Drosophila melanogaster: one gene and its partners. The protein of the gene in region 1 interacts with the protein of each later gene in a pairwise test. Each region holds a gene or a part of one and is shown on either strand. Other genes may lie near its edges.

What was found.
Region 2: the proteins of CG32982 (region 1) and CG31910 interact in a two-hybrid assay, tested with the Drosophila melanogaster proteins (one large-scale study listed by BioGRID).
Region 3: the proteins of CG32982 (region 1) and CG7101 interact in a two-hybrid assay, tested with the Drosophila melanogaster proteins (one large-scale study listed by BioGRID).

Annotation. Positions count from the first base shown.
Region 1 is NT_033779.5:9,123,876-9,128,827, reverse strand, and holds the start of CG32982 (uncharacterized protein), read right to left. Parts: upstream 3,092-4,952; 5' UTR 2,888-3,091; intron 2,068-2,887; exon of another isoform or gene 2,059-2,067; 5' UTR 1,806-2,058; coding exon 1,362-1,805; intron 1-1,361.
Region 2 is NT_033779.5:6,744,139-6,747,434, reverse strand, and holds CG31910 (uncharacterized protein), read left to right. Parts: upstream 1-1,812; 5' UTR 1,813-1,892; coding exon 1,893-2,272; intron 2,273-2,327; coding exon 2,328-2,736; 3' UTR 2,737-2,772; downstream 2,773-3,296.
Region 3 is NC_004354.4:18,828,771-18,832,663, forward strand, and holds CG7101 (uncharacterized protein), read left to right. Parts: upstream 1-1,820; 5' UTR 1,821-1,892; coding exon 1,893-2,373; intron 2,374-2,452; coding exon 2,453-3,030; 3' UTR 3,031-3,353; downstream 3,354-3,893.

The DNA of each region.
Region 1 (4,952 bases):
ATCCACATTTCGCAATTCATTATCTGAGTTTATGTCTTCAACCATGAGGTGAGGCCAGCTACCTGAGAACTGGGTTCTAAGCTACCTGGACACACAGCCAACCCAACTCTGACCATTTCCATGTATGCAAAGGTACCAGGGAACTCAGTAGTAGTCCTCAGTAAGCTTTAAAGAAATAAAAATGCCCAGAGCCTAAAGAGGCTTTTGCCAGATGATGAGACCCCAGCGCAGTCGAGATAAAAAACTGGCAGCGATAAGAGCGTTAACAAAATAATAACAAAATAAAAAGCATTTACATATAGCCAGAAGGTCGTGTTCGGACAGCGAGAAGTAGCCATCTCCTCAGTTGGCTAGGCAGCCAGTAACCTATAGCTTAAAGGGGGCTACTTTAGGCCGCAAGGAGGACTTGGGCCATTAGTGAAATGGCCCTGTCAAGAACTGTGGCTGGGCAAGCAAAAAAAAAAATGTGTGTATGGCTTATTCGGTTTAGGCCCTCTTCTTTCACTGCCTCATCCTAATGTCTGTTCTATTTGCCTTTTCCTCTCTCAACGTGCTTCATTTGGTTTTAGTAGAAGGTAGCCACTAATTTGCAGCATCATGAAGGCATTTGTTTCGGTTATGGACCAAATCTAATAAGAGCTTTATGAGATTGAAGGAATCGGGCATCTATGGGAAGTACTTGGATGTGGCAACACATTACGGAAATTGGGCTAATTATTTAGTTAAGAGTTTTTAAAATATGTATTTTATGTTCACTGCAAAAATGTGAAGTCTTGGTATTTAACAAAGATAAGTCCAATAGTGTTTTAGTAATTTTACATAACACATATCACTAAGAATCTTCTTAAGAATATTTCATATGGGATGACGTAAGAATCAGAATCGTGAAATTCAAAGAATTTCTCTAGCTGGAAAAAATAATCTTCTCAGCCATTTATAAGATTGTATTTTCTATGGCGTAAACTTCGAAAAGTTGTCTCATATATAAACAAATTCTTTGGTCCGATTGAAGACATTTATCAGGCTCTCAAGGTATGCGAGAATTATCTGACGAACATTTTAAATAAATTAAAAGATTAAAATATATGCTTTAAGCGGATTGCAGAGATGTTTTCAGATGATTCGCTGTGATAATACATTCGGTTACTTGAGCCTTCATTATCACGTAGGTTTTTCAAGATCCCCCCTCCTAATTGTAATTTATATTCTACGAGTATGTGGAAGAGTACACCGAAAAAAATAATTGCTTTGTTTTGTTTCTTTAAACTTAAAAAAAAAATTTTTGAGATCTTCTTTTGATTTGGGATCAGTTAAGACTGTTTTTTATTTTGTTTTTTGTGCAGACTTTGCTGCAAGCTCACCTTGGGATCCAAAATACTGCGCTCCAGGCTATCCTCACGATTCATGGTTGTGGCGGTGCTGCCAGTGCCAGTGCTGCTACCACCGCCGCCGCCTCCTCCGCTGCCGCCGCCCACCTCCCGCTGGCTGCTACGCTCCCGTTCCCGCTCCCGCTCCTGCTGCTCCAGTCGCAGACGAGCCCGCTCCACACGCGCCAGGGTCGGACTGTCCAGAATGGAGGGGGCACGTGAGGGGGGCCGTGAATTGTTTGCGGCGTTCGTGTGCAACTGCTGCAGTTGTTGCTGCAGCTGATGCTGCTGGTGCTGCTGCTGTTGTTGCTGGTGCAGCGCGTCGAGCGTGGCACTGTTGTTGGAGGAAGTCGACCCGGGTGTGGGCGTGGCGGAGGACGATGAGTTGGTCATGGTGGCCGTCGACGTTGTGGAAATTGATGTTGTGTGCATGAGCATTTTCCGTTCTGTTTCTTAGCCTACGTTGATGGTTTTTCTTTTGTTTTTTTTTTTGCTTGATTGTTGGATCGTTGATTTTAGCGGTAAGTTAACTGCAACGCTTGCTTATTATTTATGGGGAATGTTGCACTTTTCGAGTTGACTGTGGGTGGAGAATTAAATAGTGGCTTCCATTAGTTCTGTACTTTTGCTAATTGTTACTCAAAGTCGGCTCTTGTTACACACTTGGGTTGGTTTGGTTCTGAAATCGTATCTGAGTAATCTGATTTTATGAATCTTTAAGTGCCTTCAATGTGCCTATACATTTAATACTATTTACATTTTAAATGGATCAGAATAAAATAAAAATCATCGCTATAAATTTGTTTGTAATCTAACAGCACATTTAACAAAAAACCGTAACCACTCAATCCATACTGAAATGTTTACACCTCAATTTTATGCTAGAACCCCTTGACACCTTTGGTAATTTATGTCTCCCTCAATTGCATTTCTTATCAATGCTATCCATCCGCTCACTTTATTTATGACTCCTCTATCTATCCGCTGGCAGCCGCCAATTTCGGCTTGTTATTATTGCCATTTTCCTTTCTGCAATCCACAAAGGAGTGCAGCCAAGAAATAGTAAAAAAAAGAGAAGCATAACGAGATATAAAAACTAAACTAAAACCAACACAAGAGCGCAGTCAATAATTTTCACAAAACTGGTTTTCTTTTTCGGGTTTTTCGGTCTGGGCAGGTCTGTCTCTAAAGTCTGTTGCAGGTAGTTTTTACTTTCGCACAACAAAACACTGCGTATTTTTTTTTTAGGGAAATGGAAGGGGTAACTGCAAAGTGCATGACCAAAGATACAAATGTATCTTTTCGCATTCGCAACGATTCTTGGGCACTTTTGAAGCTGTTTATTGGCCGGGTCGGTTGAGTTTGTTTGCTGACGTCGATGGGGCTTATTATTTATATTTTCTTGGCGCGTTGCTTTCGCATATGTGATGCCAAACACGTTTGTTTTGATATTTCCGCTGACATATTAATTCTTGAATTTGGTTTCGTTGGTAATTGGTTTGTTGGTTTATTGCACATACTTCTTTAGGTTAAATTTAATTTGTTGGCAGCGTGTCGCGTCGCATTTCTTTGCGGTTTCTCGGTGCGGCTGTGGCTTAGCAAATTGAAAAAACCAATTTTGTTATTGGCCAAAATTTTATTTTCAAAGTGAGTTGGTCGCGCAAAGCAAACGAGCGACCGAAGCGAAGGCGAACTATCCACGCGAGCTGCCCGTCGATGACTGGCGCAACGAAAACTGGTTTGCCACCGAATCCCATGCATCGGCATCCGGGGTTCGCTTCGAACATGTTCGAAATGCGCACAGTGGGCCGCACAGTGGGTGTGTCAGTATCAGCAAAATAATGTTTTTTTTTTCAACATTTAAGCCATTGATTGAAGAGGATTATTTTATTTTTAAAACTTTGTTATAGAATTGCTGCAAGTCCCGAAATAAAACTTTTCAACAAATAGGTATAGCTTAAGTCTTACCAAAAGTAATTTGCACATACTAGAATTTTTGAAATTTTAAAACTTTAAAGGTTACAACTGTAAAAGTAAAATTGACAAATAAAAAATTAATTTGTTAGCTCATTTTTTATTTAGATAAATGCCATTGTCTCTTGTCTTATTTTATTTATTGCTATGTAGAAGTTGTCCCATTGTGTGCCGTTCGAGTTGCGTAGAAAATTTCCCTGTATTTTGATTTCTTCCTTTAGTCATCACCCCAAATTAATAAAAAGTAATCTTTTGCTTCCAGGAATTTTTAAGAACAATACCTTTAAATAGAAAGCTCAATATGAAGTGATACAAAAATATAATATATTTACAGAAAACTAAATTTGGGTTTGGTTAGGTTATTAAAGAATTTTTTTTGTGAATTATATTGTATAATTAAATGAATTTATACAGTAAAATACTGCTTACAATATTAATATGGATATAAATTAAGCAATTTAATTATGTAGGGTTTGTTTATATCTCAAAGATTTATTATGAAAGAATATTACGAATTTTCATTCTGGGAAATTTAATTTCCCAAAACAAACCGACTTGCAACATCACGCATGTTGAACCCGAACGCGCAGTACAGAAATTCCTTCACACAACAGGAATAAAATATTATTAGTGCCGATGAATGCGAATTTGTGAGATAAAAGTTAAGGCTTAAGTTGCATTATAATGAACGGATTGATACATAACAATTACTACATACATATGTATCTCTGTTATTTTAATATTAAACTTATTTAATTCAAATATCTTTTTATTATTTTTTTTTTTATTTCATGACCCGTAGAAAGATTTATTATTGTTATGGTGGTGGGAAAACAGGTTGTTCCCTTCGCTGTGTACTTTGGATCTCCAGGTTTACCAGCCTCTCAGCAAACGAACCACAAATTGTTGCATGCTGGTCCAGTTCCACGTCCCGGAATCGGATTGTGGATTATGAATCGTTTGAAATGCGTTCATTCTTTTTTTTTCCGAATGAAATAATCGAACACTTGACAATGGAGGCGAAAGCGACCAGCACTTGACTCATTGTATCATTGAATTACCATAAGTTGGGAATAGCGGTGGACTCATCGGGTCTAAGAGTTGTCTGGGATTCCATCTTGCCTTCATAAAGATGATTCACAGTGAGTTTCACATACTGGCACACATGTAAATTTTACGGTATGCGAATCACGCAATTATGCAAATCATTGGCGAATCGCTAAATCGCTATCTGTCTTTATTTTGCGACAAACTCCAAGATGGAACGTGCCATTTGTGGACAATCTAAGCGGGTCTCTATAGCTTTTTTGGCAACTCCTCGATTTTAGTTTCCAATTACCAAATTGACACGCCATTCATGAGATTCGAAATCTTTTTTGGGATGGGTTCTTTGGTCTGGCGCCAGGCATAATTTTTTAATTTCGGATATAAATGCGATGAAAATTTGTCGTGTCTCGCGTTTGGGGATTGGTGGTGTTTTTTGGGGATTCTCAGAATTTGATGTGTTGTTCGGGTAGATTTCGAATGGATTTTATTTTTTGATTTTGTGTCTGGCGACCGTCACAAGTGGTTTGATAACTTTATTGGCTGTGTTCTCAATGCACCCCTGTC
Region 2 (3,296 bases), 2.4 Mb from region 1:
ACAGCAGATACCCTATATATATATCATCAAATCTTTAATGTGATTATTATGAGTTTTTAAAAATTTCGAGCACATATTTTTATTGCGTGTCAATGGCAAAAAGCGCGTCACAAACGCACGGGGCACAGACTCAGTGGGCCGCAAAGACCTGTGCAGTGCGGCACAGCTACAGCTACAGATACAGATACATATATACTTTATCTCTCGGTTAGCCATAATATTTCTAGCGCCGACAGCCGACGGCACGACCTTGTCCCACGGCTCAACGCGTAGAAAGCGAAAGATGCGGATGGCAGGAATGATATAAACCACACCAGAGCACTGAGATGCATTATTAAGTGCATATTTTAATAAGAAATTATTTTCAAATTGGTAAAGTAATCAAAGTGAAGTGTAATTAGGTTTAAGTGTATTAAAGCTTAATGTCATTTTAATACTATTAACCAATCGTCCTTATTCTTAATTTGATTAGCTTGATAAGCCTAATTAGCCCACTTAGTGCAAATAACTACAAAAACGCACCTAAAACGATACATTTTTCAAATTTGGCCCTCTTAGTTGACTGCATTATTTTGTTTCCCTTTTTTCAATTATCGCGAAAGGTTCATTGCACCTTCGCCTCTTAATTGAACACAATCAAAAATATTTTGCAACCTCTCGCCCAGAATTAATTGCACATTAACAATTTGGTGTTGAGAAAACACATCTTGAGGGCGCACAAGAAGCACTTGTCTGATCCAAAATAGCCTAAACACATTACACCGAACAAGATATCGCGCATACGCCGCGTGTGCCGCTGTGGCAATTAAAAATTCCGAAATCGTAAACAACGCTCAGTCGTGATGTGCGAAATGTGGATATTTTGTTGAACATTTATTTGTAATATTTTCTTTCACAAAAAAATGTAATGTTTCGAGACAAAATTGCAGTATTGCAGAAGCCAGATTGGAAAGTTTTTAGAACGATCATTGTGGCTATAACATTTCACTTGAAGATATTTTTAAACATTTACCTTTCGCCTTACCATTTACATTTGACAGCCGTCAATATTTCCGACACATTTTTCCAATTAGAGCGCATTTCATACGCGTACACTTTTCGCACTCTGCACTCGCATGTTCCTATTGTTTATTTGAGTGATATTGAAAAATCGTTTGGAAACATTGCTCAAACATTGCTCATGAGTTCGAATTTCCTTCATATCGCAACAGATATATTAAATGTTTCACTGCCGGCAATTGGCTTCGCACTTCATTTATGATGCCCAACGAAATAAGAATACGGAAAAATTACGCATTTAACATGAAATCTATGCCAACGGATTTTCCTGTGTGTACGCTATATAAGTTGGTTGGCTCTCGGAAAAATCAGCAGCACTGCAGTATTTGGCTAATTTGATTTCCGTTCCAATGCATTCGAATGCCGAAAGTGCTCGAAAATCGAATCAATCAAAAGCTCCTTTTTGCCGCCCGACTGATTTCAATCGTATAAATATTATATTTAGTATATTTATATTTAACTATCACATGCTATTCATCGATTGCGAAGCTGATTTCTTTTTTACGTACATGTTTTTGGCAGACAAATCTTTTTTAAATTGGCCTAAGTGAAATATAAATCTTCATCTTTTCAACTGATCTTAATTAAAAGTGATTTTTCGTCAATACTCAGAGGATTCCCATTCGACCGATGCCAAACAAATTGGTTTAACCTTAGAGATCTAATAGGCCACTGACGAAAGAGATGAGCACCCAAATGGATGGGTAGTATTAGCCGAGACTAAATCATCTAGTCTGCCTTGAAGGCCGATCCATTATACGATTTTCTCAGACAGTCAGGCAGTTAGCACACACACACACACACACACCCAACACACGTAGTCTATAAACAAAATGGAACACAGAGTTGAATTGATGTTGGAACCCATAGTGGCGGGCAAGTTGGAGCGCAGATCGGATAACAGATCAAACAAGGTGGAGGATGAGGAGCCGCATCTAACCAAGCAGCTCAAGAAGCACTACGGGATTGAGGCAGAAGTTCTGGGTCTCCTTGTCAAGTTAGAGATGCGTTATAAGGAATACTACAATCTATACAAGTGCGAAATGAAGGCCCAAAAGATACTGGTTGAACGGATATGGCTGCTAACCCAGCGATATCTGATTCTAATCAGTTCAGAGCAGAGCTGTCGCTATCCCGAAGTGTACACCTTGTCCACCGAGGAGGCCATTATCAATGAATATGAGGAAAAATTGGAAGTGCTGCGAGCTTCAAAGTGAGTTGCATACAACTTGGCTTACGAAATTATTTACATTGCGCTTCTCTTTTAGCAACAAAATGAAAAACACCCTGTTGGAAATCAATCAGCAGTGCAAGGAGTTCTATGCCGCCTACGAAAGGCTGGACAAGGCCCAGGAAACGCCCTTCATCATGGGCGATAGCCATCATAGAAGCATCAAGTACCACAAGATCATGGCCGTCGACATATTCAACTATTTGTATGCAACAGTGCTGAAGCTCAAGTGCTTCATGCATCAGCTGGATCCCGTGAATCTGGAGAGTGTCGAGGAATACCGCGATCTGCTCCAAAACGAATCCGCCATGGAGGAGTTTGAGGAGTATCTTAACAATCAATTTGTCTACTGCAAGTGTATCTACCCGATTCCAACCTGCCCCATCTTGAAGCTGAAGTGTTCCCACCAAAACATAGCAAATTTAAAGTATGTCAGTCGCATCTAGTCAAGCCAAAATGTGCAATAAATAGAAGCCCTATTCAATGAAATTCGATTTATTGGCTAGTGATAGCTGTCCATCAACTAAACAACTAATCAATAATAATGAGTGTCCCATTAACATTTGTGGGGCTCTGCTCCCAATGAACAGAAGCCCTTCTGGTGATGCTAGATCGGGTCCCCCATCGGATCTTTAGTGGGTCAGCAGCTTGAGAAATCCGCCTGAGGATGCAGCACCTCGCTCGTGTGCAAGATGAAGTTATTTATCCGCTTAGCAACTCATCCAAAGAGTCCTTTTATAATACCGTTATCCACTCTAAATGCAACCCTGTCTACTAATGTAAAATAGAGAACCTGATCGAAACAGAGATAGATTTGAGCTAATCTGAAAATGAAAAGTTAAATTGACATGAGGGCCCAGAGACATTGCGAAAGTGACCTTTATTCAATTGCCACACTGTCATGGGCATAATGTGTTGCAGGGCCACGAAGGCAGGGTCACTTCTGTTATCAATGGTTTTATTCACCCCTGAACTTTCAGCAGCGCCAGCAAGAATACTTGTTCGA
Region 3 (3,893 bases), on another chromosome or scaffold:
ACAAGTGAAAAATAAAAAAGGAAAAAAAAAAGAATACCTAATGCAAACCGAACAAATCAGCAGCAGCAGCAGCAGTTCCGAAATTGTTGTCGAAATATATAATAGCAGCTTTTAGAACAACACCAAGGAAGTTGTAGTAAATGCGGAGGAAAATTGTATTGTTGTTGTTTTTTATGTACATTTACTTTTTTGTATTACCGTTGTTGTAAGTCAAATATGCCAAAAATGAATAGTTTACTAAGAGTTTACAACAAAAGATTCAAATGCAGGCAAGATATGAATTACTTTAAACGCAAATCGCAAGAACAAGTTCCGAATGTTTTTAGTAGTCAATGGAGAATATCTTTTAATCGCTTACACTAAGTGTTCCCATGCATATTTATGGGTTCCTTGCCGAAACAGAAATCTTACATAAACACAAAAATATAACACAAGAGCGCGGCTGTCGACTTTACTCCACCCCGGTACTCAAAATGTTCGAATAAAAGTGTGAATAAGTTACTAAATCATTGCATGCAACAAAGAATAACTTTAGCTAATGGATAATCGTGTTATTAGATCGTATTCAATTGTTACCTGATTTGATCCCATTTCGCTTTTATTGAACGTTTGATGTGCATTTAAGTGATTACCCCCACCCATAGCATTCTGCAAAAATCGTCCCAGTTGATAGAAAATGCAAATACAAGATCATACGTTCTCGATTCAAGTGTTTAACTTTAAAGTGCATTTTTAATATGAAGAAGTTCTGTTACATTTTTGTGATGATCGAAAAAAGGTCTTTTTTAGAACTGGCTGCGATTTTTCGATTGTAGTGTTGGAATTTCGAAACCAAAAATGTTGCTTGTGTGTTTAAGTTGTACCATTGTGTTATTTGAACTTTTGAGTATCGGATGAGCATAGAACTAAGGAACCATTAGAGGTCCGATGGATTGATTGAGCCGCCACAGCGCCATTTTGATAATAAGAACAAAGAATTCGATAACTATGTATGTTTAATGGATTACATAAGTGTGTACTACTTCACGCGTCAGGTGGGTGGCATTGCCCTGCAAATATTTACTTTAATTTCTGGATAATTAGTGCTCACATCACTGATTAGAGGACAGGAATGCGCAAAACAATATGCTTAATACATAAGATTCCAGAGCTTTTAGTAACGCCATGTAAATTCTGGGTCATGAATACAGTTGTGAAGATTGAAGATTGTAACCGAGGCGTTTGTTATTATGTATTCAAGTCATTTATTATAAGTGTATACAGCTTATACTATTATAAAAGTGTTAAAAACATGAATTATTTTGAGAAAAAAAACCCAAAAAAGAATATACAACAAAATGTTAGTCGGTAAATGAAATCAAATGTAAAACAATTTAATGTAGACTGTACTAAAGAATTCAAGGAAATTTGAATATCAACACTCCATCACGCAAATAACTAAAAGGAAATTCGCTAATTGAATAGAAGTTGATGGGAAAATTATTTGCACAGTGCAGAAAAACGTGTTATAAAATTATTATACTATACAAAAACTATATATTATTGAATTATGCTGATGAAATTAAAAACCATAAAAGTATGTAAAAAAAATTCAAATACAAAATGATTTAAATGAAGTACAATAAATATTCAAGTGACGAAAATGTACGAGCGGGCTCTTTTCAATGGGAATATGAAGAATTTAATTTGAAAATGTTTGATTTTTGTTTTTGAACACTTCGGTAAGTAAATGTGACCGCTTATTGATATATTCTGTTCAGCTTTCGCGCTGCAGTCACACTTTTGGCTTCCCGGCACTTGCGGTCAATCGATAACAAATCGCGCCTTCCGATATCGATAGTCAGCGAGCAGTTTTGCTTGTAACAACAATTTTAATTGGACAAGCTAAAATTATGGAACCGGTGCCCATCCGGCCAAAAGCGCCGGGAGCGAGCAACCGCGGAGCCCTGCCGCTGGCGGCGAAGAAGCCGGCCAAGAAGCGTACGTACCACTGCGGCGTTTGTTTTGCGGAGTTCTCTCGTCATCTGGCCGCCAAGCGGCACGAGCAGCAGTGCTCCGTCAGGGTGAGGCGTCTTTTCGTCTGCCCCCACTGCCTGACGCTTTTCGGCGAGGAGGCCCGGCTGGAGCGGCATCGGGAGCGAAAGCACAACGATGGCCAGTTCCTGTGCCTGCAGTGCGGCAAGAAGTACGCGTCAGCCACGTTTCTTTACCGTCATGTTGCCAGTTGGCACGGCCAGCAGTCGCTGTTCTACTGCGACATGTGCACGGACAACTGCAACGACGTTAAGACCTTTAGCGGGATGCTGGAGCTGCAGGAGCACGCCGAGGAGGTGCATCGCCTGCGTACCCTGAAGTCCACGGCCAGTGATGCAGGTAGGTATTCTGCTTACGAGTAGTTGTGATGTTAATGGCATACCCTGCTTAATAATACTATTCAATCCGATCCCTGCAGACAGCCAGGTTGATGAAATGGAGGATCTTGAGATGCTAGAGGAGAACATTGAGAACATACTGCCCAGCATCGACTGGGACGACGATCTCACCTTTGGCTGGCCCACCGACCTGGACAAGGAGTCGTGCATTGTGAACGCTAAGCCGAGCGTTTTCGTGTGTCCCTTCTGCGCCAACGGATTCCCCGGCAGTCTGAGCCTGGTGCGGCACCTGGAGCAGGTTCACGAACGCAGTGCCCTGGACTGCTGCTACTGTGGCAAGAGCCATGGCAGCCGAGAAGCCCTGCGGTCCCATCTGCAACGTGTTCACATCCTCTTGCGCGGTCATGTGTGCGGTATTTGCCAGGCGGACTTCGCCACTGCTGATCACCTAAAGAAGCACGTTAACAGTCTGCACCTGGACCACCGACCGCATCTGTGTCCCACGTGCGGAAAGAGATTCACCCAGCGGTGCCACCTCACCGATCACATAAAGACGGATCGCGGCCATGGACACGGCACTTACACCTGTGAATTCTGCGTGCGGCCCTTCTTCCGGGCCATCGATCTCGAACGGCATGTGTGTGAGGAACATCCGTAGGGCAGTCAACCTAGCCGGAATCGTAGATACCTGAGCGACATCTCACGTCCAGAACTACGATTAATATATACTTAAGCAATGGATAAATGTAACGTTTTAATAGCGTTAATATTTTGAATTTATATCCTAGTCATCGGAAATGTTTTTCCAAACGAACTTGAATTTAAAATCGTATTTTATTTTTTGCTGTAAAATTAATGCTTATGAGACGATTTACATTTACATCTTAGGAACTATAGACATAAGCGAATAGTTACTTTAATATAGCAAGCAGATGGCTGAAAGACAATGTACTTATATGAATAAAAAAATATCAATACATGAAGTCAGGTTAATAGAAACGGGCACAATTGAAATATTTTCTAAGGAAAGTTTGAAAGAATGAAAGATTGCCTAAAGAAAGTTTACAGATTATTGCTGCGTAGTGTTAACATAATGTAAAATGTCACACTAAAATGAATACTTTGAAAATAACGATGAAATAGTGCAGCTTTATGAGTAATATTTATCATCACCACAACACTGATTAATCAGATAATATACTCCATTTCCACCAATAGACAGATAATAGAATGTAACATATGTATTGTTCATGTTGCTCTATATATATTTAAATTTAAAATCTCAGCGAGCCTCCTGAGCGAGGGTGTGCGTAAGTCGAGATCGCGCTCTCCCAGCGTTAACTGTTAACAGTGAAACCCATCCGCTCCGCTCCAGGCCCCAAGATCGGGAGAGTAATGAGCGGAGCGGTTCGGTTCGGATTGGATGTGAGTGTTGCGGTACAGAGCGGAGAGCGCAATGCTGCGACAGCTGGGTACTGTTACTGTTACTGCAACAGTTACTGCTACTGCTATTGTTATTGG